Notamacropus eugenii: one gene and its partners. Each later gene encodes a partner of the first gene's protein in a complex. Links are inferred from orthologs where the notes say so. Each region holds a gene or a part of one and is shown in the gene's direction. Other genes may lie near its edges.

The links.
Region 2: DNAAF10 (region 1) and PFDN6 share a complex: the UniProt entries of both Homo sapiens proteins name them as parts of the PAQosome complex. The link is inferred for Notamacropus eugenii from reciprocal best matches to the Homo sapiens genes DNAAF10 and PFDN6.
Region 3: DNAAF10 (region 1) and UXT share a complex: the UniProt entries of both Homo sapiens proteins name them as parts of the PAQosome complex. The link is inferred for Notamacropus eugenii from reciprocal best matches to the Homo sapiens genes DNAAF10 and UXT.
Region 4: DNAAF10 (region 1) and PFDN2 share a complex: the UniProt entries of both Homo sapiens proteins name them as parts of the PAQosome complex. The link is inferred for Notamacropus eugenii from reciprocal best matches to the Homo sapiens genes DNAAF10 and PFDN2.

The regions. Positions count from the first base shown.
Region 1 is NC_092872.1:635,459,018-635,465,949, forward strand, and holds the start of DNAAF10 (dynein axonemal assembly factor 10), read left to right. Parts: upstream 1-3,920; 5' UTR 3,921-4,268; coding exon 4,269-4,451; intron 4,452-6,932. Other genes in the region: RNA-binding protein PNO1, read right to left, coding at 2,430-2,579, 3,594-3,800. UniProt on the Homo sapiens protein: Key assembly factor specifically required for the stability of axonemal dynein heavy chains in cytoplasm.
Region 2 is NC_092873.1:89,315,083-89,321,286, forward strand, and holds PFDN6 (prefoldin subunit 6), read left to right. Parts: upstream 1-4,112; 5' UTR 4,113-4,385; coding exon 4,386-4,449; intron 4,450-4,918; coding exon 4,919-4,989; intron 4,990-5,074; coding exon 5,075-5,199; intron 5,200-5,475; coding exon 5,476-5,605; 3' UTR 5,606-5,687; downstream 5,688-6,204. Other genes in the region: WDR46 (WD repeat-containing protein 46), read right to left, coding at 138-273, 451-601, 729-833, 1,171-1,232, 1,420-1,507, 1,697-1,809, 2,024-2,107, 2,534-2,803 and 1 more. UniProt on the Homo sapiens protein: Binds specifically to cytosolic chaperonin (c-CPN) and transfers target proteins to it. Binds to nascent polypeptide chain and promotes folding in an environment in which there are many competing pathways for nonnative proteins.
Region 3 is NC_092879.1:101,807,872-101,815,022, reverse strand, and holds UXT (protein UXT), read left to right. Parts: upstream 1-4,670; 5' UTR 4,671-4,789; coding exon 4,790-4,887; intron 4,888-4,965; coding exon 4,966-5,047; intron 5,048-5,131; coding exon 5,132-5,199; intron 5,200-5,532; coding exon 5,533-5,640; intron 5,641-6,335; coding exon 6,336-6,399; intron 6,400-6,488; coding exon 6,489-6,542; 3' UTR 6,543-6,643; downstream 6,644-7,151. UniProt on the Homo sapiens protein: Involved in gene transcription regulation. Acts in concert with the corepressor URI1 to regulate androgen receptor AR-mediated transcription. Together with URI1, associates with chromatin to the NKX3-1 promoter region.
Region 4 is NC_092873.1:267,547,256-267,555,125, reverse strand, and holds the start of PFDN2 (prefoldin subunit 2), read left to right. Parts: upstream 1-4,897; 5' UTR 4,898-4,993; coding exon 4,994-5,086; intron 5,087-7,691; coding exon 7,692-7,780; intron 7,781-7,870. Other genes in the region: DEDD (death effector domain-containing protein), read left to right, coding at 1-88, 641-1,017; NIT1 (deaminated glutathione amidase), read right to left, coding at 2,298-2,606, 2,759-2,884, 3,024-3,157, 3,479-3,582, 3,681-3,932, 4,249-4,359, 4,737-4,897. UniProt on the Homo sapiens protein: Binds specifically to cytosolic chaperonin (c-CPN) and transfers target proteins to it. Binds to nascent polypeptide chain and promotes folding in an environment in which there are many competing pathways for nonnative proteins.

The DNA.
Region 1 (6,932 bases):
ATCATGGGTACAAATAGGGAGGAAGCAATGGTCAGGTAAAAGGTTAGAAAAACATTAAGTATACCAACCAACATGAGTGGACAGTGTTTTAAGGTTAGAAAAGTGATTACCAAAAGACTTAAAAGGCAGAGTGAGTTTTGGCTCTCCACTGACTATAAAGAAAATTCAGCAAAGGTTTTTGAGTTAAATCATCAAAAAGAATCTTAGAGAATATTTAATGAAATGTCCTAACACACACCACATCCCTGAGGTCATCATTCAGCTTTTGCTCAGGAGTTTAGTATATTAATAAGACAATGTTGATAAATAATAACACTCTAGTTTTGAACATCTCTACTTGTGAAAAAAGTTCGCCCTTAGAAAGTGTTGAATCTGATGATTTAAGCTTCTGAAACCCACTGACCTTCCTCCTGACTTCTACAGTCATAATCTCTCTTCCAGATGAATATGTGAAAGGCTATCATGTTACATAATTCCACCTCATCTTTTTTTTTTTTTTTTGAGTCAGTCAACGAACATGTGTTAAGTACTATGTTGCCAGGCACTATACTAAACCCTGGGAATAAAAAGAAAGGTAAGAGACAACACCTGCTCTCAAAGAGCTCACAATGAGGGAGATTACGCATAAATAACTGGACACCCAGTTTGAGAGTCTGAAAGGCAGTTAAAATTTTGAGACTGAAAGTCAGCAGTAGTTAGGGCTAGATAAATAGATCATAAGCAATAAGTTAATTGGATTCACAGAAACTGATGAAATCACCATCATAATAGCCCTTCACATCATGAAATAGTAAAGAGGAAGGGGAGAAGAGTAACTGGGACAGTGTTGTGGGACACCCACAGTTAGTAGGCACAAACTGGATAATGACCCAGTCAAGAAGACTGAGAAGCAGCTGTCAGAAGAGATAATCAACAATGTCAGTGGCTGCAAAGAGGTCAAGAAGGATGAGAATTGAGGAAAAAAACATTAGATTTGATAACTAAGAGACGTTAGTAACTTTGAAGAGAGCATTTGAGGTTGAATAAGATCAGAAGATAGACAGATGAATAAATAAAATAAAGAGAGAAGACAGAGTTAAGAAGTGAGAGAAAAGGAAGTGGAGGCTTTATTGTTGATGACCTTCTCAAGGAGTTTAGCCACAAGAGGCAGGATAAACCTCCCATTCTTTTCAAGGATTTCTCATATGCTGTTTTTCAAATTCCCTCACTATCTTTGAATGACCACACTAAAAACAGTGTAATTCTAGTAAGATTAATTTGGTGGCAAAGAGAGCCCAGAGGAATCTGAGATAAGGAAACCAGTCAGGAGGCTATTAAAACAATCTCAAAATAAGGGGGGGAACACCTAGCAGTGAAAATGGAAAGGAAAAAACTTGTTTCATTTTGTATATTTAAAAGTATATTTTCTGTAAGTATAAAAGTATGTTTCTATATTTCAAAGTCAGAAGTGCTTCACTGGAGGTAATCCTTGGTTCTTGAGGGATATGCCAGCACAAGCTCTGGCCAAGTTAAAGAAAGTTTTGATTACAGGTAAATTACAAATGTTGTGAATGGACCAAACTAGTTAAGTATGGAAAAGCAGATCATGAATAAGTTGACCACTAGTTGGTGAAATCTTTGGACATGATAAAAAACAAGAACAAAAACAGACCTAATTTTCTGTAGCTCCCTTCAAAAGGTCCAGAGAGAGCCCTGTGGGATATCCAAAGGGTGTGGAATAAGGATGGAAAAGGAAAGATAGAGGGGGTCCTAATAATCATAGTTTTTAGAACATTTAATTAGATGCTACTGAAAGAACTAAACCATAATAGCACTAAAACTATTGCTTTAATACAGGCCTGTACAACATGTGGCCTGTGGGCTGCTTGTAGCATGTCAAAGGATTTCAGGTAGCCCACAAAAAATGTAGAGGAAAACATCCTTTATACGCAAAGGAAATCCTTTGGCATATGCAGCCCACAGGTTGTGCAGGCCTGCTTTAATAAAACCACAAGAGGCAAAAGAAATTGCTGCTAAATGGAAGGATGAAGAAAACAAAGATCCATTGTGCAAATCTAAAGCAATGCGAAGGCTCAAGAGCACCACTACCACCACCAAAAAAAACCCCAAACAAACCAAGAAACACAACATATTTTTAAAGGATGAAGGGAAATTCTACAAAAAACATGACAAAGTCCTTCAAATTACATCTTTAAAATACCTCCTATTGATAGCATAAGGCCTTTTAGATTACAGAATATTACAATCTCCAAAGAACCACAGTAAAATGGAGAGATGTAAGATGAACATAAATAGGATAAAACTTTATTGACTATTTTTTAAAAAGGTTATTAAACAGAATAATAACAATAAGGAAAAGGGGTGATCATGCTTCAAACTGTGTAAGAGAAAGAAATATTTGTTTGGAAAAAAGTTGGTGTTCTCCTTACCCTGATTTCTATATTCCTTGACTTTAAGTTAAATCGTATTTGAAGACCCAGATGTTCTACAACAGGTGTAAATATTTTCATCCAGTTCTCTTTTAATGGAGTGTATCTGTTGGCAGGCACTGGAATTTTCCTCATTTCACCTTTGCCACCCTAAAATAAAGATGCACAATTACGAAATAAGAGAAAGTTGATCCCCTTATCTCTTTCATGGAACAAAAACTAAACATCACATTTTTATGCAGTAAATAAATAAAACCACTAAAGCCTATTCCTGACTCCAGGGGTCATGGAAGTTGTATTGGGTTCCTGAATGTTTCAACTACCAAAGTTCTCTGCAGCTTCTACCACCACCAGGCTTGTGCCTGGGTTCCAAAAATACACTGTCATCCGAGGACCATTATGCATGTGCAAGTCACTAAACTAGGTGGTGGAAAAAAGAGGTTTTTAAGTGACATAGTCCCTACCTTCCAGCAGTTTACAGCATGACAGATAAATGTAATACAAAGTGAAATCAGGGAGAAAAGTCAATACGCCGCCACCCCTCTATTGATGCAGGTCAACCCTTTCTGTACAACTTACAGCCTCAGAGAGTGACCTAGATCACTAAGAGGTTAAGTGGCAAGCCCAGTGCCACCCGTTCAGAGCAGAGACTTGAACTCAAGTTTTCCAGATTACAGAGACCAGCTCTATCCATTGTGCAGTGTTGCCTCCAGGCTCCCCCATCCCAGAGAGCATCCCCCGCCGCCCACATTTCTCTGTCCAGCAACTCTGAGAGGGCAACCAGTTAATGCCACAGATTACTGCCTCTTTCCTTCTCGTTCATTCCCCTGCAAATCTATCTAATTGTATTACAACGGACTGAAAATAATTCAGGTCACTACACAAAAAAATAAAACAAAGGGCAACAAACTCCACAGATACTTCATCTCGGAAGGTGTTGCAACTTCTCTGCGGACAGCTAAAGAAACAGCCACGAAACTTCACTCAGGCTTCCCCTCATCTCGGTCAGTACTCGGATCCACCGGGGACCCCGGCGCTTCAGAGCTCTGAGCCAGGGATTCTCCTCCTTCGTGTCGCGGGCCCCTCTCTCAGACTAAAGGACACCAACTGCCTCGTCTCCCCAGCCCGACCTCCGTCCCCCGCCCCGCCCCCTCCAGACCGTACCGAGAAAGCGTCCCCAGACAACGGAGGAAAAACCGGCTTCTTGTGCGGCCGGGGCCCCTCGCTATCCATCTGGCCACCGCCGTCGCGGCCCTCCGGCTGCTGCTCCTCCGCTCGCCGCTTTCTGCCCCGTTTGCCGGTCGTGCGAGAAATCTTGGTGAAACCGTCCCCGTCCTCCGCCGCGCTCTGCGTTTCCATCGCCGCTTCCATGACTCCCCACAGGGAACGGCTACTGCAGAGGTTTCCGGTTCTCGCACGTGCAATGGGACAAGGCGCAGGCGCGCGTCGAAGACCCAACACGTCCCTTACGTCACTGGATAGCTCCACCTCCTTTTGGCCCTTAGCAGGCTGGCTGACGTTGTGCCTAAGTCTTTCCATCTCTTCAGCAGCCGAAGTTTTGATGTGAGCCGCGCGGAATCTCTTTATCCGGAGTGCAAGGAAGTCATGGAAAGAATAAGAGAGGAAACTTTCGGTCTGAAGCTGCGGACTGTCGCAATAACTATCAGGCATTGATAAGGACAACTAAATGAACTTTCTCTGTGGGGGGCAGTGAGAGGAATGCGGAGTACGGCAAGCGGGAGGGCCAAACGGTTTCTTGTGTGGACAGTGCGTAGCGAAGACTCGTTGCCCAGTTGGCTACGACGCGGTTAACAGCGGGGCACCTGGACCCGTCCTGCCATGACGGCTTTCGAGAAGCCTCAGATCATCGCGCACATCCAGAAGAGCCTCAACTACACGGTGTTTGACTGCAAGTGGGTGCCCTGCAGTGCCAAATTCGTGACTCTGGGCAACTATGCCCGGGGCACCGGCGTCATCCAGATCTACGAAATCCAGCACGGGGACGTGACGCTGCTGCGGGAGGTGGGTGCCGCCGGCCGGGCCTCCCCCCGCCCTCGGCGCTGCCCCCCGGCCCCGACTGACCCCGTCCCCCGTTGTGGGTCTCCCGAACTTCCAAGAGGGACGGCCGCTCAGTCAATAAATATCGGTTAAGCCGTGCGGGTCCTCGGGCTGAGTGCAGGGGACACAAAACGAAGCGAACCGTTAAAGTCTATTGCGGGGAGAAGGCGTGCCGAGCGTGTAAACAAAGCCAGAACTAAGGGTCGGGGAAGGCTGCCTGTGGAAGGTGGGATTGTGGTTGTGATGTAAAGGAAGCCGGAGAAGTGGGGGAGGGGGGGGGCGATTCCAGGCGTGGAGGACAGCCAGAGAAAACGCCCCCTAACGAGATGGAGAGTCTGCTTTGGGGAACAGCCAGGGGGAGTCGAAGAGTTCACGTTAAGGAGGAAGACTTAAGAAGACTGGAAAGGTGGGAGAAGGGCAGGTTGGGAAAGGCTTTGAATGCCAAACAGTAGATTTTATGTTTGCTCCAGGAGGCAATAGGAAACCACTGGAGTGAATATTGAGTAGAGAAGTGATGTGATCGCACCTGCATTTTAGGAAACACGTTTTAGTGGCTTGGGGGCAGCGAGGTGGTGCAGTGGATAGAGCACCAGTGGAGGAGTCAGGAGGGCCTGAGTTCAAATCTCACCTCAGACCCTTGACACTCACTAGCTGAGTGACTTTGGGCAAGTCACTTAACCCCAACTGCCTCATCCTGGGTCATCTCCGGTCATCCTGATGAATATCTGGTCACTGGAATCAGATGGCTCTGGAAGAGAAGTGAGGCTGGTGACCTACACAGCCTTCCCTCACTCAAAACAAAGTCAAGTGCAAGTCATGTCATCATTTCTCTGATGGCATGGTCTTCTTTTTAGTGGCTTAGGATGAATTTGGGGAGAGATTTGAGGCAGACTCAACAACAGGCGATTGCAGTAATTCAGATATGAAGTGTTGAGAGTCCGCACTAGACTGGTGCCCGTGTCAGGAGAAAAGGGGGGGTGTATTGGAGAGATGTTGCAAAGGTGAAGTGGACAGGGCTTGGCCACAGCTCAGATATGGGAGGGGAGCTGGTAGTGCAGGGTGACTCCTAGGTGGGATTGGGAGGATGGTATTGCCCACTGCAGTACTAGGAGGCAGGGAAGGGGGGAAATGAGGTAGAGGTAGGAAATAATGCGTTCAGTTTTGAACATGTTGAGTTTAAGAGGTCTAATACATCTAGTTGGAAATGTTTGAAAGGCAGTTGGAAAAGCTAGATTGGAGGTCAGCAGAGAGGTTAGGGCAAGTTCAGTAGATTTGAGAGTCTACTGGGATGGGTAGGAGGACAAACTGGAGAGATTGGAGCCTTAAAAAGCTAGAGAAAAGAGGGTAACCATCAGATTCAAAGGTTGCAGAGAGATTGAGAAGAATAAGAAAGAGAATTAAGGAAAAAACCATTGAATTTAGCATTTAAGGCAGGAGGGCAGAAGAGATCAAGGACCAATAATGAAAGAGAATGGAAGGATCCAGTGAGGGTTTTTTGGTTTGTGTTTTTTTAGGAAAGAGTCACAGGTATGTTTATAAGTAATAGGGAAGAAGCCAGTGAAAAGGAGAGATTGAAAATAAGTGATAGAGTAGGGATGACAGAGGAAGCAATCAGTTAGAGAAGACATCTAGGCAATATGAAATGAGAAAGAGGGTTAAAGAAGGAGCAAACGGTCTCAATTTTTCTGTAACATATGAGGCAAGGTTCTCAGCTAATAGAGTGAGGGGACAGGGAACTATGAAAGGCATGAGGAGGGATAAAAAGGTTTGGAAGAGTCACTGTGGAGAATGAGATAGTGAGTTGTTGAGGATTGCCTGGCAGCAGTGCGGGCCTAGTTGAGGTTATGTAACATAAATATACAGTGGATCCAGTCAGAACTGTTATATGATTTTCTCCACCCTCATTCTCTTCACATGTGTAGGAGTGAAGATGGTAGAGGGTGGGAGTAATCTAAGGCTGAGGCTTGGCAGGGCATAATTAACAATATGATAAAGGAGCTAAGGACTCAGAAGGGCATTATTGGGTTGAACTGATTCACCGAAGGGTCAGGATGGGGAAAAGAGGATAGAGAGTGACTAGTGTAAGGAGATAGCCTGGGAAAAGATTGAGCAGTCAAAAGACTGGAGATCAAGATGCGGAAAAAATAGGACTGGCTAAGGGAAGGCAGGAGAAGAAATGGAAAGCCAATAGATTATCATCAAATAAGTGGGTTTCTAAATTCTTGAACACTGAAGGGGTGCATTTGTGAGTGATAAAATCAAGAGTGTATGGCTCTGTATGGTTGAAGTAGGGAGTTGGAGTGGGTCATGGAAAGTGAGTAGATTGAGAAACCAACAGGCTAGGGTATTTGAGGAAGAATTAATATGTATGTTGACATCCTCTAATATGAGGGCAGGAGTTGGGGAAGAAAGCTAAGTTGTGAGCCTTGTACTGAATTCAGTGAG
Region 2 (6,204 bases), on another chromosome or scaffold:
GTTGAGCTAAATAATTTCTAAGGAGTGTTTCCAGCTTTGACCACTAGGTCTATGGAATGGATAGGGAAAAAAGCAAGGGAGGTCAGAGGGTCCTAGGACATAAAGCAGCAATGGGTCAGGACGTAACATTTACTAACCATTGCTATGGCCAAGATGGATGACTGCATTGTGGGGATTCTGGGTCATCACATCCAGACGTCCAGCCCGAGCTGCCAGAGAGGCTACAATCTTGCCGACAGACACATCCAAGTAGGTAAGGAACCCTGTCTCTGACTGGACGGTGGAGAAAATGAGACAGAGAGTTACAACCAAGGCCTCTTCCCACCCTCATCACCCTGACACCAATCCACACCCTTTACCAGACTTTCTGCCAAACATCTCCTGCTCCACAGTTGGAGAGGTCATTTCCCAAGGTTAATCAATTTCTCCTAGTTCCTGAGCATGACTCACAGCTGTGACCAACAGGAAGTGGAAGGGCAGGAACTCAAGTCTTGTGATACGATCACACCTTCGGACACAGTGGAGCTCTATCCCTTGATTATCATAGACATGAAGCCAGCGTTTCTGAGCAACTGCAAACAATGTCTCAGAGTGCAGGAAACTGGAGTCAAGAATCACAGAACAAACCATAAAATGACCTCAAGATGAGTCAGGTACTCAACCTCCCTGAGACCCTCATAAGGTCAGTGAGCCTCACCCACTCAATGATGGCCCTGGATCCCACTGACCGTATGTCCCTCACAGCTTCCATGACGTTGATTTCACACATTAATTTCTTTGTTATCCAGTCAAATGTGGCCACATGACCTCTCCGGCCACCCAGGGCAAGGTGTCTGGTGGAAGAGAAAAACAGATATCCTAGTGTTAGGAACCCTTAGTACCTAGAGCTCTGCTTTGCGCTCCCCCCCCACCCCCCAAAAAAGGAGGACACAGATATTTGGTCAAAAGAATATATGCATACAGTTATTGATACCTTAAATCTCTCTCCCCCACCCAGAAAAAGACAGTGAGTGAAGGCAGCAGAGTGTTACTGACAAAGAGACCTCACTGCCCTTGGATGAGAAAATCAATCAATCAATATTTATTAAGCACCTACTATGTGCCAAGCATTGTGCTGGAAAAGAACATTGTGAGAAAGGTTCACTATGCAAACTGGAGAAAGTCCCTCACCTTCCAGTCCGTGAGTAATTGATCCTGTAGGGTCCAAACTGGTACAAGTTCAGGTCAAAATGCTACATTATGAAGGAAAGGGAAAGGGAATAAGCACGTATATAGCACCTACCATGTGCCAAGCACTGTGCTAAGTACAGAGACATGCAGGAGGTCAGCCAAGCCTGGAAATCCTCCCACCCACTCATCATGATATAGCTGTCTTCTCCACATCATCATCATCAGTTCCTTCCCAGCCTTCAACCTCACCTTAGCCGCACTTGCAATGTCCACAGCCTCTACAATGTCAGCCTGGCGGATTGTAGCTGTGTCTTCCCCTGCCTCTCCCTCAAGGAATCTGTGAAGAATGAGGGCTCATTGAAAAGTTCACTAGGACAGAGTTCAGCAGAACTGAGAATGCTGGGTATGAGAAGGGGATGGAGAGGGAGATAGGGGACAACCACAACACAGGTTAGATCCCAGGGGCTGTGGTTACTGACCTCTGAAAGTGGAACAAGAAGATGCCAAGCAAGAATAGCTCACTTACCCAGGCTCCTCAGACAGCAATAATTCGGCCCGGGCTGCACGGACACTTGTTTCCTCTTCTTCATCAGCAGCTGCCTTGAGTTTGTGCTCAGTCACCAACTTAAGGGGATGCTTCTGAGAGAATGATGAATCAAAGGTCATAGGTTACAAATCAGAGGACTGAGAACCCTAACTCTTCCTTCTCAATAACTGGTGAATCAACAATGAAGAATGGGAAAATAAAAGGTCACAGGTGAGTGATGAAAGACTGTCAACTTCAGGTCTTCTTTCTCAATCACTGGATGGACATTAAGACCCTCTGCTGCTCCTCCCCAATTTGCCTTCTTACCTTCACCAATTTAGAACTGCCTCTTCGGAACTTATTTATAGCAGCCTCTGAGAGTGGGGCTGGCCCTGGGAATGGATCCTGAGCCTAGAGGTGATAAGATGAAGTTTTGCATCAGAGATGGTATCCCTTCCTCCTCCCTCATGCTTTTACTGTTACAATGCCTCACATTTACAGAGTACTTTGAAACCCAAGATCTACTTTTCTGGGTGAACCGCTATTTAAGTGTAAATTTAGGCTAATGAGGCATTCTAATGGTCCCACCACTTCATTCTTTCCTCCAAATTCCTTCCCATTCCTCTCCAGACCTTTTGTTTACTCTCACTTTGACCTGCTACCTTAATTCTACAGAGAGATCCTGCTCTTTCCCCTCCATCCACAAAATCCATATCAAAACACCTCAGAAAGTGACAGGGGCATGAGAGGAAGACTGGTTGAGGGCTGACGAGATCCTCTTAGTTTTACCTACTGACCCAAGGATCAAGGCTCCCTGTTTCCCAACCTGAATCTTACCCCAGATAAGGTCTGACTTGGTCTCAGCTCTTGTTTATTGTTTGGCCTCAGATGCTTCTGGTTCTGCTTCGACCTCAGATGCTTCTGGTTCTGCTTGGATCTCAGATGCTTCTGGTTCTGCTTTGACCTCTTAGGTACCCTGACACCCCTGGACTGGGACCAGTCTTCCCTATTCCTCTTGGTCCCCCTGGCAGGGGCAGGGGCAGTGAAAGGGTCGGATGGGAGGGAATTGGCTCCATCAGTTTCCCCTTCCCAGTAGCGTCGAGGTTTCTGGAAAAAACGAGGTAGGGATGAGCAGGGGACAGCAAGATTTTTGCAGGCCAGACTCTTTCTCACCCCACACCCAAACTATGTCAAGTAAAGACATGACGCCTGGGCATTGAAGACTGAAAAGTGCTAAAACTTTGAATAAATTGTAAAACCTGTCTCATTTTACTTACTTGTCATACAATTTGTTGTATGTCTTACACACTTCACTTACCAAAAAATGTGAACTACTGATATCTACACAGATTTAGCCCCCCCCAAAAAAAGCCACTTAAATACTATACCAAAAAATGAATTCTAGTGTTACTTGAGATTAGGCTACCTTCCCTTTATAATGCAAGCAGTAGAAACTTTAATTCCATTTGCAATAACACAAATTTGTGAATATGGCTTCTAAAACGCTTGTAACCATCAAGACAAAAAACCAAAATCCACACGGATATCCAAAATGACAAGCCTGTTGTCTTGTGAAAGACAACCCAATAATTTAACTTCTTAGTCAAGTTCAGCAATAACAGCCTTCACACTGATATATCTTTAAAAAACAAAATTTCACTTCAACTTGCTTATATTTTAAAAGTATTGTATTAGTATTCATCGCGCTAATAAAGAAGCCCATCTACTACTAGACCATCAATTTGATTTTTAATATTTTGCCGGATGTCATGAATTTTGCTCTATGCCATTAAAATACTTTTCTAAATAACAGCAGACTGCAAAGCAGCCCACGACATCAACAAAATTAAGAATTATGGATTTAGACTAATAACATGAGTGCTGCCACTCACAACCAAGAAGAAATGGGATGGCCCACCGGCTCGGGTCGTCCTTGGTCCCTCCCGCTTGCCCCGCCGGGACAAGGGGCAGAGGCACACCATACCTGTTTCTTGCCCTGGGCCTTGACCCGGGCCCCGCTGCCCGACTTTGGAGCCTCTTCCATGCGCCTCGGTCCCAAAACTCCTCCAAAACCCACGTGCAAAGGCCACTCCACGGTCCCACCATCAACTGAAGGAAGACACCGGAAGTCGTAGTTGGAGTGGGCGGAGCCCGAAGACTAGCCACCAATCCAAGACAGCTGTCTTCCGGAAGCCACGTTGGGTAAAGTTGTATCCTCTGGCGGAGATGTCGGACACCGGCGCGGCGATCATGACGTGTCGGTAATAGATGAGAAATGAAGGATGAAAGTGGAGAGCCAGGGAGGACTTCAAGAATCGACAACAGCGTTGCCTTGTATTTTCTTGAGGCTCATGTTCCGCCGCCGAATCCGTTCGAGGAGCCGATCTTTCCGGCGGCCTGGTCTGGATGTTAGGACTACATTTCCCGGCGTACCCTGTGCCTACGTTGTCCTTTTTCCGCCCGTCATTTGCCATGTGCCTCTTGTTTTCCCAGCATCCCCTATCTACCTCCGGGTTCCGGAGCTGTGCTAGGGGAAAGTGCAGGACCGCTGTGTGTGGCTCAGGATCTTTCTTCGGGTCAGGAGGGTTAGGAGCGCGTGTAGCGGCCGAGGCGGGCCTCCAGGCTGCCGGTTGTGGAGTGACACTCTCCCACGCCTCCTTCCTGAGATTCCCGGGCCCTTCTCCAAGCCATGGCGGAGGTGATTCAGAAAAAGCTCCAGGGGGAATTGGAGAAGTACCAGCAGCTCCAAAAGGGTGAGTGAGGAGGGGCTCGGAGCTGCCTCGGCACACGCCCACCCAGACCCGGTGCTTCTCTGCTAGCCATTCAGGGAAGCCTCCCACGGGACCCCTATGTGCCACCCAGCCTGGGTCCAAATTCCCTCCTTCTGAAGGGAGTATTACAAAAAGATTCTTAAGTGCTGGCTGTTGTGTCATCTCCCCTCTCCAGGCCTTGTTTTCCTCATCTGTAAAATGGGCATTGTCATTCCTGCCCTCCATTCGCAGGCCGTGGTGGTGCAGAGAGGGAGGAAATAAGTGCTTTGTGTATAAATTTTGATCTGTTGTTTAAAATGGCTTCATCATTAGTGTTTGTGACTTCATCCACGCCAGACCCTACCCACGACACGACTCTCTTTGATTTATTGGGACTGAGGGTGTTTCAGGTTATCAGATTTTCATTCAGTTTTTCTTTATTTTTTTCTTTTCCCATTTCTTCCCACCCCAGACTTGAGTAAATCTATGTCTAGTCGACAGAAACTGGAGGCACAACTGACAGAAAATAACATCGTAAAAGAGGTGAGGGACCAGGTTTGGAGGTGTCCAGGAGCCATGAGGCACTTCCAGGCATTTTGTGTCTCCAACTGTTTCTCTCCATCCCCAGGAGTTAGCATTATTGGATGGATCCAATGTGGTGTTTAAGCTTCTGGGCCCAGTGTTGGTCAAACAGGAACTGGGGGAGGCCCGAGCTACTGTGGGCAAGCGACTGGACTATATCACAGCAGAGATGTAAGTATTATCCTCCCTTCCTGCCCCACCACCACATTTGACTGTATCTTATGTTAATGTGATGTTGTTTTCGTTTCATTGTCACATATACTTCAACTTTTCTTCTTTTTTTGTCTCCCTTTTAATTCCATCTGTTCCCCAGTAGTAAGTCATGTTGACCCCTCAATAGCTCACTAATGTACCGCTGTACAATTGTCTTAAGCCCTTTTTTCCCCCGACAAACTTGTGAAGCAGCTAGCATGATTATCTTTTTGTGTTTTTCCTATTTCTCTTTAGTAAACGATATGAATCTCAGCTCCGAGATCTGGAGAAGCAATCTGAAAAACAACGTGAAGCTCTGGCTCAGTTGCAGCAGGAGTTCCAGCGTGCCCAGGCTGCCAAGGCAGGGTCTATGGGAAAGGTTTGACCTCCTTGGTTGGGGAGAGAATAAAGTAGGGAAAGACTGTGGGTTACCTGCACTGTGGCAAATAAAATGTGAAAATACCTGACCCCTGCCTTGTTTTCTAACCACCCAGTTACATTACTTTGATCTGTTCTCTTGCCTCCCTTCCTTCTCCCTCCCCAATTCTCATACTAACCATAGTTCCACCTTGGTTCTGTCCATTCAACCTCATTTCTTTCCTAGTGGGTGGGGCTGCTGAGTCTGGTTAGAAGCTTAAGTTGTACTTTCACCCATACCCTCAACTCTTCATTCTTTTACTCTAGCTAGTATAATCAAATATTACATTCATACAGAAGCTTGAAGCCCCTACATGGGAAGAAAAGAGGTATTTATATCCTAGCCCAAAGATGAAAGGCAGATACATTTTTTGACCAAAACACAAGAAGTTTTTATGTTATTCGACGGTCAGCAGTCATGATGACGAAGCTATCATTGTATTCCACGCTATTAACCCCAAAAGATTAGTGACGTACTTAGCCTCGCCACACACGACTTTTGTAAGACTGGGATTTTGGAATAGACCACAGATGTCATGAGAGTTGGTACATATCCAGTCCATTTTA
Region 3 (7,151 bases), on another chromosome or scaffold:
TTAACATGTCTTAGGACAAACTACTCTATAGATAAAATCCACAACTTGAAGAATTTAATTACTTTCTTATGTAAATGGGGAAGGAGCCTAAAACATCCTGGGTTTGGTCTCTTAATCAATTAAGGGAATTCCTTTAAAAGAATTTATAACATGTCATTCTATAAAGAAAATGAGGAATGTGTGAACCCTGGAATGCTGAACTATGGGGGGCAGGCGGGAAATTCAAATTGAAAGCTGGCCATATAAACGGTGCATTTGTATGAAGTAAGTATAGCCGTCCATTAGGAGGGAAAGAACGTAAAAAATAATAAAAGCTTTCCTGATTTCACAACAAATATTGTTCTTTGTTTCGAGTAGGTATGTTTCTCACAGATATGGTAGTTAATTTTTTTTATTAAAGCTTGAACCTCAAAAAAAATTCTAAACCCATTTTGCATCTTATTTTATGAGCTATTGTTAAATGAAAGATTAATTTTTTTTCTGTTTGAAGTTTCTCTGATTATCAAGAGACAAAAAGAGCCTTGTGTTGCAAAATCCAATTTCTCCTGTAGTTTATGGACAACATTTTCCAGGGGTGTGTGAATGTTCAGGGAGGACTAACCTCTGGTGTGAGCGCTTGTCCAGTCCTTTTCAGGACTACTTATCTACCTTTGATATCCACCTGGCATTCAACTCTCACTTGTGGCTCCAAGAAGTTATAGCAGATACAGCAGCCACAGCCCAGTAAAACCAGGTTGAAGGTAACCTACAGGCCTCAAAACCCATTGGTGAGTTAGGGGAATGTCTGTCCCAAGCATGTAAAGACTTCTGTTGGCAGAATAGGCTGATGAGAAGAGTTTGTTCTAACAGCCATGAAGGTGGCTCAAGCAGCCATTGTTGAGCGCTTAGGGCTTGGTGGGACATCTACGTCATCCATTGTGTTCCTAGCCCTTCACCAATTGTCCTGACTTTTGTCCTGTCACTGGACTTTGATGGCTCTGGAAGAAAGAGTGAGGCTGACAACTTTGTGCAGCTCTGCTTCACTTTAATCCAGTTCATGAACTAGTCAAGACATTACCCTATGATGTCGCTGGTACTGTTTGAAAATGAAGGACACTCAAGGCAAAATGCCTTCCACACTCAGAAAAAGAAATATGGAAGTCATTCACAAAATGTAGCAGATCATGTTTGTGTATGTGTATGTGTTTGTGTATCATGTTTTGATTTGTTATATGATTTCTTTCATTTATTTTAGTCTGACTACATAGCATGACTATAGTGAAAATATACTCAATAGGAAAGTATATGTAGAACCTATACAGAATTGTATGCAGTCGTGGGGAGGGAGGGGGGTAGTGGGGGGTAGGTGTGGGGGGGATAAAATCTCAATTGTATGGCAGTGATTGTTAAACATTAAAAAATAATAATAAAAAAAAAAGAAAATGAAGGACACAAAACAAGCAGACTTGAGCAGCACTACCTCTCTGCAAGTGACTTGGAACTTGGGAAGCAGATCTATTCCTGCTAGTTAAAAACTGACAGCCTACTTAAGGAAATCAGAATATTTGAAATGAATGTCTGAACTTTGTAAATGCTGGTCTAGGACAAACCACATGAGCACAGACTTTCCTAGGGAAAATGTTTCCCAGAATCAGATGACTTTATGGGACGGTTAAACCCATGATAACAGAATAAGAAATATGTTGTTTAAATGGCTATTTGGGTTGGTTGTCAGGAAAAAGCTGGATTAAGGAAATTATGATATGATGCCCATATTTGTTCGTGTATTGGTTTTGTTTTGCTGTTGTATTCAGTGTTGTCCAATATTTTATCTGCCTGTGGAAATGTTTGCCATAACACTGATGCTGAGACATCTAGAAAGGAGATTGACAGAATGTATGAGAATATGGTTACAGAGAGACATTTCATTTCCTTCTATGACCATAAGGAGTTGTAAGAATTTTTTATTCCTTTCTCTCCAGTATTATTTAAGCCACTTTAATTAGAAGGAAAGTCATGTAGCTGGCTGAGATTTTCATAAGACTCCCAATTATTTTGATCTACATAAAAAAAAAATATGGGAATAAAAGAATTCATGCTACCCCAATCCCAGATTTTTCCCTCATTAGTGATTTTTTGATGAACTAGCTCTAATGTGATTGTCTTCTTCAGTTATCTTTGAAATACAAATCACGTCAGCATAATCTTTGTCATGTAAATCTTTTCTTTCTCTTATCAGTGATTCCTTTCTCTTTGTAGCCACTGTAATGCAAAATTGTATTCTTTTCTTTGTGTCTCTGATGAGATTAGAAACTGTGTAAACTTTAGGAAATCTAAACTTTTAAATCTACACTTTGTTCCTGATTGAGAGAGATTTTTGAGTTCTGGACCTATGCTGAAGCATATAAAATAAACCTTGATTTTATCTCCTAGTTCTCTGCTTGTTGAAAAGCAAGACTGGCAGCAGGTCAAGGAACCACTGGCTATTCCCATAAGAAAACAAAGTGGATGCTCATCCATTAGAGAATAACTACATTTATGGTGGTCCATGAATTGGCATGGAGTGTTACTCTGTTGTAAGAAATGATAAAAGTGATGAAAATAGAGAAGTGTGGAAAGATCTCCATGAACTGATGCCGAGGAAAGTGAGCTGCAACAATGTAAGTAGAAGGAGTCATAGAACAATCAAAAATGAAAATTCTCTGTAAAGAACAAGCACAGGTGGCATCCAACTAACTGACTAGTTTGTGCTGTATTTGCTGGTATGTTTCTTTCTTTTTCTGTGAGACACTGAATGTCTTTTTCAGTAATTCCCTTCCCCCAACCACTTTATGATTACAAAAGAGAATTCATTTGAATATTTCTAAGAACTCGTCTCCTTCTCCAATCTAATAAAGCTTGTAGGAGCTTAACAAATGTTCATTAAGTGACTGATAAAGAAGATACTGTTTGCTTTGGTCTGATGTAAATAGCTATCCTAATATGTTGGGGCAGCTAGGTGGTGCAGTGGCTAGAGCATCAGTGCAGGAGTCAGGAGGACCTGAGTTCAAATCTCACCTCAGACACTTGACACTCACTAGCTTTGTGACCTTGGGCAAGTCACTTAACCCCCATTTCCTCATCCTGGGTCATCTCCAGTCATCCTGATGAATATCTGGTCACTGGATTCAGATGACTCTGGAGGAGCAGTGAGGATGGTGACCTGCACAGCCCTCCCTCACTCAGAGCAAAGTCAAGTGGAAGTCATGTTATTTCTTTGATGGCATGGTCTTCTTTGGCAACCATGTACAAACACATGCTAATACATTAAGCATTCTTTTAATTTTGATAATGTTTAATGTAAAATTTTGGAATAATCTCTTTGTTCTCTCTGAAACAAACTCAGAGAATGCTTCTTCCTATGTCAGCAAAAGCCAGCCAAGGCTGACTCTACACTCCTTAGGAGACCTTTAACCTAAGACACTAGATCTTATTATCTATAGACATATACTATGTTTGTTATGGCATATTAGTGGTAAAGAAAATATAGACATCTTGGGTCATAATTTCTATGTGAAACTTTGTCAAACTCTGTTATCTTATTGTATTTACAGCCTATGCAATTAAGAAATTTCTTTCTAATGGTCTTGTTAGTCACTTATGGAGATCATAAATCTGAAGGACACAGAACACTTCTTTGTCCTAAAACATATTTAAGGCCGCCCAATTCTTTGTATTGGTAGCCAGAACATTTCTGGCTCCATAATGCATTATGGTGCCATTGTCTTTAATAGGGAATTGATTAATTAATTAATTAAATCATAAAATGTATGCATTTAGCCTGTTGCCTTCTTTTTTTAAACCAAGTTTTCAGGTCAACATTTTTCATACTAAAAGTGACTTCTGCCGACTGCCCTATCTGATCTAATCCAAAACTGCTTTGTATGCTCTCTGGGTATATATACACACATACAAATATGTTATAAACATAAGTAAAAAAAGAAAGATCTATATGTGTTATCTGTGGAATTGTGAATGGTACAGGGTAGAGATTTTTTTTTTGTTTTAGACTTTTTTCTACACTGATCAGATTTGCTGATTTTCCCTCTTTAGCAAACATTATTTTCTGTATGGGTTGGCTCTCTGGGAGTAGATAGTAGAAGAAATGTTGGTGGTATTAACCAGCCTCAAAGATGTCAGTATTTTTTAATGCCAGAATTGTTGTATGGGGTGGGTGTGTGTGTAGGCGGAGAGCAAGCAGTGCCGGAGTCTGGGTCCCCAAGGTCACCCTCAAGGTGGCTTCCTGGTCCTAAGGAGGTCCCAGTCTTACCAAATAGGTCAGTACAAAGTGTAGTCAATGGCAGGCAATCTGAGGGGGGAAGGCCTAGGGCAGGCCGCAAGGCAGAGAGGGAAGCCAAGATGCTTTTTTATGCCTGGCACAGAGTAAGCGCTTCCTGAATGCTTGCTGTCTTACTGACAGCCCGCGGGCCAGAGAATTTCAAGGGCGGGGCCAAAGCCGCGCAAAGTCTCGAAACCGGAAGGTCACGAGACGAGTCTCCCGGATCTCGGGGGCCAGCAGAAACAGCTGCTTCTTCAGGTCTTCTGCGCATGCTTCAGCCTGGCAGCTCCCACCCACCTGGGAGTGCAAGGCCACGCAACCAAACACGTGACCCAAGGGGCGGGGAGTACGCGGCAGGAAGTGACGCAGAACCGCCAGGAAGTGATGCATTCCCCTTGCGGCTCACCCCCGGAAGTCAGAAGCGGGTCTTTGCTGGCGCGGCTGGCTGAACTGGATTGAGTGGCGAGGGGCCTGGGCTAAGGGGGTGGGAGGATGCGGGTGGCCAGCATGGCGACGGCACCGCGGGGGGTCCAGGCAAAGGTCCTGCAGTATGAAACCTTCGTCAGCGACGTCCTGCAGCGAGACCTAAGGTAAATGCGAGGGGGCGTGGGGCCTGCGGGGGGCGGCAGCGGGCGGGGCCTAGACACCCCTTCTGCCCCCCACCCCAGACAGGTCCTGGCGCAGCGGGAGGAAGTGTACGGACAGCTGGCCGCTTACCTGCAGCTGAAGAACGTCCTGGAGCGGCTCCAGGTGAGCGGGGCGGGGCGCCCGGGAGCCCCTCCCTTGGGCCCTGGGACGGCCTGGCCCGCCCTCTAAGCACCCCCCCTCCCGCAGGAATCGGGGGATCAGAGGCTGCACACACAGGTGGATTTGGGGTGTAACTTCTTCGTGAATGCCGAAGTGTGAGTCCCCCCCTCATCAGTGGATCACCCTAGATCGACCCTGGAGCAGTGTGGAAGGAAGCCTATGGGCCCCTGCCCCCAGCATAGTTGTTAAGTGCATGAAATAGAATATATGGACTCCAAGGAGATCAGTTCCATTCCATTTCAGGTAGCCAGGGTTTTTTATTGTTTGTTTTTTTGAAGTTCACAGACTCTGGCTTAAAAACCCCTTACTCCATAAGGAACACCCCACCTCCTAATCCCAGAACTCAGAGACCATCCCAAATGCAGAGAAGCCCCAGAGGGGCCACGAGGTTCATAGAGAGCCCCTTGAGAAATGCCTCTGTCTTCCAGGCCAGACCCTTCCCGGATATTTGTGGCCCTCGGCCACGGCTTCTTCCTGGAGCTGACATTGATGGAGGCCTTGAGGTTCATTGATCGGAAAAGCCGCCTGCTCACCTCGTAGGTTTTCCAGGGTTTGAGGGGAACAGGAGTGAGGGGGAAAGGGAAAGGGTCTCTGACGAGCTCTGGCCATCTTTATTTTTTTTTAACGGCTTATTTATTTTTAGTTTTCAACATTCATTTCCACAAAATTTTAAGTTCCAAATTTTCTCCCCATCTCTCCCCTCCCCCACCCCAAAACACCGTGCATTCTGATTACCCCTTCCCCAAATCTGCCCTCCCTTCTATTACACCCCTCTCTTCCCTTATCTCCATCTTCTCTCTTTTCTTGTAGGGCAAGATAGATTTCTGTACCCCATTACCTGTATTTATTTGCCAGTTACATGCAAAAATGGATTGTCAATATTTGTTCTTAAAACTTTGAGTTCCAGCTTCTCTCCCTTCCTCCCTCTCCACCCATCCCCACTGAGAAGGCAAGCAATTCAGTATAGGGTATATGACTTCCATAATAGTCATATTGTGTAAGACTATGTTTCCCTCCATCCTATCCTGCCCCCCATTTCTTCTATTCTCTCTTGACTTTGTCCCTTCCGGAAAGTGTTTACTTCTAATTATTCCCTCTTCCCATTTGCCCTCCCTTCTATCATTCCCCGCCCCCCTTATCTCCTTCTCCCCTACTGTCGTGTAAGATAGATTTTCATACCAAATTGAGCGAGCATGCTATTCCCTCCTTAAGTCTAGCTATCTTTTTCCAGGCTAAGTGACAACCTCACCCGAGATTCAGCTCGGATCAAAGCCCACATCCGATTGGTGCTGGAGGTAAGAAGGGCAGGAGGGTGGAAGGTGTGTCAGTGGAAAGCTTATTTTAGAACCTAACTTCCGATCCTATGTACTCTCTTCCCTCGAAGGGCCTTCGGGAGCTGCAGGGGCTACAAGAGCTGCCAGATCATCCAGGACACTGATTAGGATGCTGAGAATTTCCTTTCCCTAAGAAGACTGCTACTGAGGCTCCAACTCTTGTTACTTGAAATCAGAAATCCCTTTAATAAAAGCTGGGAATGAGGCTGGGGAGGGGAGAATGTTTGTTGCCATGGAGATGGGGCAGCCTTCCTCCCTACCATTATCTTCTCTGCAGTCGCAGAGCCACGGTCTCTGTTCTCTTCCTGTTTGTTCTTATGGTTGTGTTCGAGCTGGCCCCTTTCCTCCGCCTCCTTCCCCCCCCCCCCCCTCCCACCTCGGTGGGCGCAGACTGAAGAAATTCATCTAGCTGCGCTGGGCCTTTTTCTGCGCAGGCGCACAATCTGTCTCCTTAGTGGCTTTAGATTTGCCACTCTAGTTGGTCCCGCCCTTTGGTGGCGGCTTGGTTGCTCTGACTCACGGGTCCCGCCCCTTCGGCCTTCCCTTACCACGTGATCGATAACGTCAGCCAGACCCCGGTTCTTCTATCCCGGTGGTGCTCTGGGCCGGCTCCGGGCTGCTCTGGGCCGGGGCAGGCTTCGGTCGGTCGTAGGGGGAGGGAGGGAGGTGGTGTAAACCAGGCCGGTCCTGGATAAGAGGCTACAGAGTGGACA
Region 4 (7,870 bases), on another chromosome or scaffold:
CGGCCAGCTCGAGGGAGAGCGACACTTGTAAGTCAACGAAAGCGCCGGAAGTCCGTGACACCAGACCCCAAGGAGAAACAGACATGCGGTAAGGGAGGCTCTGCTTAGTGCAGCCCAGGCAGGGAGCTAGTGGGAGTGGAATTACTCTCCAAAAGGCAGACTACTTTTTTTCCTGACAGAGGGGAACATGAAAGTGGTTGAGGTACTGCCCCTTTGCCTTGACGTGGTCCTGCTGTCCTTTTGGAATGATTCTCAAGAGGCTCTCCCTGCTAACTTTCTTCTTGTCCAAGGTGGAGAAAAGGAGTTAAATTTATGCAATTGAGGCTAAGTCTGTTTAATATAGAAAAAGCTCACCCCCATGTCCCCAAATGAAGTTTGATTTGGAGGCGATATGTTTTTACTGTGCCCTATTACTAAGAACTCTTTCCCTTCACGACCTTTTCCTCTTGGCCCAAGCATGGGCTCAAACAAATTCAGAGTATGTAAAGGAAATGCCAAGATGAGACAAGTATAGAGAAGTCATAGCGGAACTCTACCCTGGAGAAGGGTAACTACCACCTTACTGTAGTGCCTTGGTCTGCCACCCCTGTCACTTTTCTAACAGGGTATGGCCTAAGCACTCACCTTTTCTTTCCTGTAGACATCAGGCTTCGGGTGAGGGCTGAATACTGCCAGCATGAGACAGCTCTGCAGGGCAACGTCTTCTCAAATAAGCAGGACCCACTTGAACGCCAGTTTGAGCGTTTCAACCAGGCCAATACCATCCTCAAATCCCGGGACCTGGGTTCCATCATCTGTGACATCAAGTTCTCTGAGCTCACCTACCTCGATGCCTTTTGGCGCGACTACATCAACGGCTCCCTCCTGGAGGCGCTCAAAGGTGTCTTCATCACAGACTCACTTAAACAGGCTGTGGGCCATGAGGCTATCAAGCTGCTGGTGAATGTGGATGAGGAGGACTATGAGCTGGGCCGACAGAAACTCCTGAGGAACTTGATGTTGCAGGCACTGCCCTGACCCTCCTCTCACCTTTCACAAATCTGGGTCCTCAGCTCGGCACCCATCTCTGGAGTTCACACACTGTTTGGGGTTTTCTCCACACCCCTCCTGTCACCTTTGCTCCCCCTCCCCTTCTTTTTTAAAGGAAAAGACAAAAAAGTGGAAGTGGTGTGTCTCCCTCCCCCTCTTCCACCCAGACTGCCACAAGCCTGGGCAAGGAAGGAAGCAGCAGTCTGATGTCAGAGCCCTCTGTGGAACCGCTGCTGAAGTTGTTTGGGGGGGGGTCAATAGGAGGCTCTCTCAATTGCCCTCCAGCTTCATGAGGGCTAGTTATGTTTTGTTTTGTCTGAGAAACCAAAGGGCTGTGGTGTGGGAGCTTGCTGAAGAGGTAAGAGCCAGGGTTGTATCATGGGAATTTACCAGCACATTCCCTCCGCCCTTCTGAGAATAACACTTGTAAAGGTATGGCCTCCTCACTTGTTCACTCCTGGCCCTGGTGCTTCCCTTCTTCTCCCCCCATCTCCCAGGGACAGAGATTAGGGGCTCTTCCTAGTCTGGGTCCCTCATTTACCCTGTCTGCTCCTCTTCTAGGAAGCAGTGAGAGGGGAGGCCTGGGGCCACCCAAGAACCCCTTGTCTGTGTGCGCTGTGCACAAGTGCCTGTGTGTATGCAGGATGGGGAGAAGGGTTGCTGGGAGCACACACTCCCTGAGAAAGGGGCGTGTGGCATTTTTCCTTCCATGTTCAAGTGAAAATAAACGTATCCTGCAGCCCATTCCCATCTCATTTGTCGTTTGGCTTGGGGTGGACTCGGAGCTGGGATGTCCCCTTGAGCTTTGTCTGTCTCAGTATAGCCTTTCCCTTCCTGGGCTTCAGTGCTTGAATTGCCACAGTTCCTTCTCAATCCTAGGACCGGGCTGGGATAAAAACTAATTTGTGCATTCATTTTGAAGAGTTATGAACGGGCCCTACTTGTTACTATTGTCTAGTACGTTTGATGCTACATTGTTCCCCTTACCCTCAAAAGAGATGTCGAGACTTGGACTTCAGGACTGTATTTTTTTCATTGTTAGTGCTTAGACCTTGGTGTAGATTTAGTTTTCATAATTGTGATTTAAGAGCCCATCTATATGTAACTAAAGTTTGAGCCCATAAAAGCATTTTTTTGGGGCTTTACAACAGGCTGAACCTGTATGCCGTAAAGGAAAGGGAGTAGAGGCTCATCAGCGGCCTGGGGTCCTGCCTCCAAGCCACAGATCCTCACTGGCCCAGAACAGGACCCAGTTCAGTCAGCAGGTGTCAGGGGTCTGGGCGACCCAAATTACCATACAAGTCAGGTCTTCGGTGCTGGGCCACAGGCATACGCTGGCGTATCTGGTGGAGATAGGCCAGGTCAATGTGGGCAAGGCAGAGGCCTTGCCCCTCAGAACAGCGTGCTATCACGATGCCCCAGGGGTCCACCACCATACTGTGTCCATAACTCCCTCTTTTTTCATGGTGCTGTCCCCACTGTGCTGCTGCAACTACATAGCACTGTGTCTCAATGGCCCGAGCTCGGAGCAGCACCTGGTGGGGGGGAACAAGAGTGGATGAAATCAGCTTCAGCATCTGGAGGAGAGAAATAGGGAGTTAGAGCAGTGACCTTTGGAAGCAAGGATTCCCCCACTCAGTCCTGAGAGACAGTCAGAGGGAGTCAAGAAAGAAATACAGCATTTCTGTTCAGTTGAATACGTAGGTACTAAATATTGGTAGGTCCTTACCTCCCAATGGGCTGGTCCCGTAACTGAGCCAAAGGCTGAAGGGTAGGTGAGAATTTCAGCACCATCCTGGGCCAGTGCAAGGGAAAGCTCTGGAAAACGTAGGTCATAGCAGATTGCCAGACCTACCTGGGATGGAGGAAAGTAGAATACTTAGCTTATCTGGTGCTGGCCACTCTGATATAGTATTCCACTGTCATTTTGCCCCCTTCTACATATTCCCATTCCTTTTCCCCACTTTAACTTCCTCCCCTCCCTCCCTGCCAACCTTGCCAGCTGGTGTACTGACAGGGGACCCCAGAGTGGGCCCTGGTATAGTAGAGGTGCTCTCACACATGGGTCCCTGTCCTGGAAGCTTCACATCACAGAGGTGTGTCTTCCTATACGTGGCCACAATAGAGCCTTGGGAGTAGAAGAGGAATACTCTGCTGATGATTTTATATCCCCCAGACCCCAGAGAGGGAACTTCTTATGAACCAGAGGCACAAACATTATGTCCACAAGGTGTATGTGTTTTGGGGGTGTGGGAGGAAGAGGAGGAGGAACAAGAGGGAGCAGAGGAAATCTAACTGGTAAATGGCCTTGAAGGCTTGGTAAATTGTTTCCAAGCACTCTGGGCAAGGAAGGTGGAGGGAGTGAGGTTGGATGCTGAAAACAGGATTCTAGGAATGCAACTCAAAAGGGCAGGAGAGGACTGAGAGGGAGTTGGGGACAAAGTCTTACCCTCCTTGTCCAAGAGAACGTGACAATTATAAATCCGCTGACTCTGCTCCCAGTGTTGGCCACGTTCGTGAAAACCACCCAGAGATAGCCAGATACCACATTCCCTGTAGAGAAAGCAACAAACAACCCTTCTCGGAACCCCGTCTCCACCACAGTCAGCGGAGCCTACTCACCCACAATGCTCCTTTGCTGCCTTTCATACCTGGCAAGTTGGGCATACCGATTTACAAGATCCCCACCCAATGGCTCCGCCAGCCTAAGTGTCTCCGCTGAGTCCCGACCAATGAAGTCGAAGGCCTCGGGCAGGAAGACCAGGCAGGCACCCAACCTGGCAGCCTCCTGAACCAATCCTGAACAGGCTGCAAATGTCTGTTCCTTATCCGGCGTGGACGTCACCTGGCACACCGCTACCAGGGGCAAACCTCGAGGAGAGGAGCCGGCCATGGTCCCAGGCCTGTGAAGAGCAAGATCCAGGCGTCCCCAAATGGAGAAAGTGAGAGCTCAAAAGAGAACCGGGCATCTTCTCCATACATGATCTCTGGCCTCTGACACACCAGGAAAACCAGCAAACACATTAGACAAGGCTCAACTAGCTCCAGCTCTTGTCCTGACAGTGCCCCTACGTAACCTTAAGCAGTCCCTCATCCTTCCTGGGCCTCCGCGGGCGGGGGGTTAAATGAAGTGCTTGGTAAACTAGGAAGAGCTAGATGTGCAGATAGCGGGTCTTCCCTTTGCCCGCTCCCACCTCGAGGAGAGGCCGTGGGCTTTACCTGCTGCGCCCAGTGCCCGCCTGGTCACTGAGGAGGGAGATGCCAGGCAGCCTGAAGGCAGAGCGCAGCAGGAACGGGCACTTTCTTGGCAGCCCGAGGGTGGAGCTCAGCCTGGAAGAGAAAGGTTCGGGGGTCCTCTCGCCCCTTCGCTGCCCACAAGGCACGTGACCAGTCCCGCCCTCCCGCCCCGCCCCTCTCGTAGCCTCCTAGCCGCGGGCCGCCAAGCCCCGGCAGGTGGGGGCACGGCCCGCTGCTCGCCTTCCGCTCTCTCTTCGGAGGGCATAGGTCACTTACTGACGTAGGACAAGTCTCTCCCTCCCGATGCCGGGAATCCCTGAGGGCAAGATAGCGATGCCCGCCGCGTTCCACGCGTGCACTCACTCTCCGGCCCCCGGCCCCTGCCCCCGCTCCACCTTTCCTTCCTCCCCCATCCTCCCGGGGAGGGACGCCCTGGTGCAAGCAGAGGAAGCCCCAGACCAGGATCCTACATGGAGCTGGAGCCCTGGAGACTGGTGTCCGCAGCTCCTCCTCGCGCCTCGAGCCCAAAGGTCTTGAAGCTTTGAGGCCATAGGGCACCCGGAAATGTCAGGGCCCTCCCCTCCCCCCCCCCCGACGGAAGTGCCCCTAACCAAGATGGCTCTCGAAGCATCAGGATCCGGAGGAGTCTGGGACGGAGACGTCCGGATGTGACGCACCGGGAGGCGAGCCCTGGGCTTCTAGGGCCCAAGCTAGCGGGCGGGTGAAGATGGCGGAGAGTGGCAACCGGGCCAACAAGAGCGGTGGTAGCGGCAGCAGCGGCAGCAGCGGCGCGGGCAAGGGGGCGGTGTCAGCGGAGCAGGTGAGCTTAGCTGCCGGTACGCCGCCCCGGCTCCTGTTGGGGGCCGCGGAGCGGGGCCCGTGGCACGTGCGGTGCCCCCTGCCGCAGCCCGGGCTCGTCTGGGGCCCCCTGTGCGGAGGGGAGACGGGGGGTGAGTGTGGACACGACGGGGAGCTCAGGGTGGGGGAGCCCCTCGTGACGGGAGCTTGGGGGCCCCATCCGTGACTAGGAGCCCGGAAGACGCCGATCGCCGGAGTCTCCCCAGTTTTCTGTGACTGAGCGGGGGAGCAGACCCCTCCCTGTGAAAGAGCCGTATGAGGTCTGAAATCCACCAGCCTGGGGAAGTGCCTTGAGGTGCCCCGGCCCTGGCTAGCCTGAGCTCCAGGCCCGCCCCTCCTGCGGGGCTGCAGGATTGACCTGAGAGCCGAGCCGGAGCGACTTCCACCGCCTGAGCCCTGCAGGGTTGTGTTCCAAGATCCCTGTTCTTGGAGGACCGCGAAATTGTACTGTGCCTGACCACGGGCGCAGTGTAATATGTGACTTGCACTTTCTTCTTTTCCTTTTTAAAAAAGCTTGCAAGTGAATATTCTTAAACACTGGCATGACCATGGCAGTCAAATTCCCTGCTCAGTAAAGTCCATTGGCTTCCTATAATATCAAATATAAAATTTAATATGTTGTCTGTGGCTTTTAAAGTCTTTTGAAACCTGGCCCCCCCTCCTAACTTTTCCATGTAGTCTGGCATTCTGGGACATGGGCCTTCTTGCTGGTCTATCTTCTGCCCCTCACTTAGAATGCTCCACCTCATTACCTCCACTTTCTAACTTTCCTGGCTGCTTCCAAGACTCAGTTCAAATTCCACCTTTTGCTGGAAGTTTTTCCCTGCCTTCCCTCCCCTCTTCCTTCTGGGAGAACTTCCATTTCTCCTGTATGTATATATGTTTCATGTATATACTCATTTGGATCTGGTCATCTCTGGCCATGCCAGAAAACATGAGAACAGTATGGTATAAGGAAAAGAGAAATAGAGAATTATACATAAACATTTGGACAGGAAAAGGAAAAAAAACAATAAGTAATTTGTAGATAGGATTTCTGGGAGCAGTATTTTGCATTCCCATGAGAGCTAGTGTTGGATTATTTTGCTTCTTAACTTTGCAGCTAAGATTTTGGGTAGCTGGTAAAAGTTTTATCTTTCTATACAGAAATGGCAAAATTCTCTAACAGATTTAAATGGATTCACTTTGGTGCGGCATTGGATTCAAAATTCACCTCTAACCTAGAAGCATCGCTGGCCTTCAGTTAACAAGAGTAATTTTGTTTTTTAAATATCTAATTCCCCTTAGTTGTTTTAACCTCAGGGATTCAGGGATTGATTTTATTTCACAAAGTAATACATTTTGAGTGTGTGCTCAGGAAACTTCTATCTTTTCAGGTGAATCTCCTCCTAAGTAGGTTCCATCATTTGCATTCATACAGGAGTCGCTTGGATGTTGTTGGAGTTCAAGTTGATCAGTCATTATTTGTTAAGCATCTACTATGTGTCAGACACTGTGCCAGAAGCTAGAGATTCAACAAAAGTCAAACAATTCAAATTTCTGTTCTAACAAGTTGACAGCATATACTTATATATGTTGATATAAGAAACCTTGGGGAAGTAAGGTACAAGGAATTAAGGGCATAAAGAAAGACATTATGCAGTAGATGATGATTGAGCTGAACCTTCAAGTAAACTTGGATTCCAAAAGTGGGGAGTGAGTAGAGAGTGTTTTCCAGGCATGGGAGACAGCTAGTGCAAAGGCATGGAGAAAGGGAACAGTGTTACGTGATGAGCACCAAGAAGGCCAGTTTGGCTGGATTATAAGAGTATATGGAGGGGAATAATGTACAGTAAGGCTGGAAAGGTAGGATGGGGCCAGATTATGAAGGGCTTTAAATGCTAAAAAGAGGCATTATTGAATGAGGGTAGGAGTGTGCCACGTTGTCACAACTGAACTTTAGAAAATCTCATTGGCAGCTGTGTGAAGGATGAATTTGAATGTTGAGAGACCAGAAGTAGAGTGACCAAGTACAAGGTAATTTTATTGAGCAGCAGAAGCCACTGGAGGAGTTTAAATAGAGGTGAAGCAAATACTGATATACTGTATAGTGAGTGAGGCACCAGAAGTAAGGAATTCTGTACGGCTAAGGTAGTAACTGTTCCATTCTCTGGATGTGAAAGTACAGAAGGAAGGAGGTCTTGTTCAGAAAGATTATAGGGAAGAATAGATTTGGCACTGAATTAATGATTAGGTCGGGATTTGGGCTACTCTTTCTCTTCTAGTTTATAGTCTCAGCCCTAAATAGTAGGTACAAAGAGCAAAAGCCCAGAGAACAGCTATATGTGGAGGGTCCATCTGTATTTGCTCTCCTAACGTGTACCAGTATAAGTACTTGTCCTGGCCATTGCCCTGTATTTTCTTTGGTAGAAATCATCCCTTGAGGGAAGACTACTTTAGACAGGGATAAACAGGGCCAAATTGGGACCCAATTTGTACTTTTCTCAACATTTAGGTGACCACCTAAGGAGCCTGCTCTTGCTATCTTCCGTAGAGTTTTCTCCCTCACTTCATCTCTTCTCCCCTAGGTGGTTGCTGGCTTCAACCGCCTTCGGCAAGAACAGAGAGGCCTGGCATCCAAAGCAGCTGAGCTGGAAATGGAGTTGAATGAGCACAGGTGAGAGGTCTGGGGGAATAAGGAAGAGTTGAGGTTGAGGGGAAGTCTGTACTTTGTTGGGGCTGTACCCTCAGACCGTTCTCCTTCTGA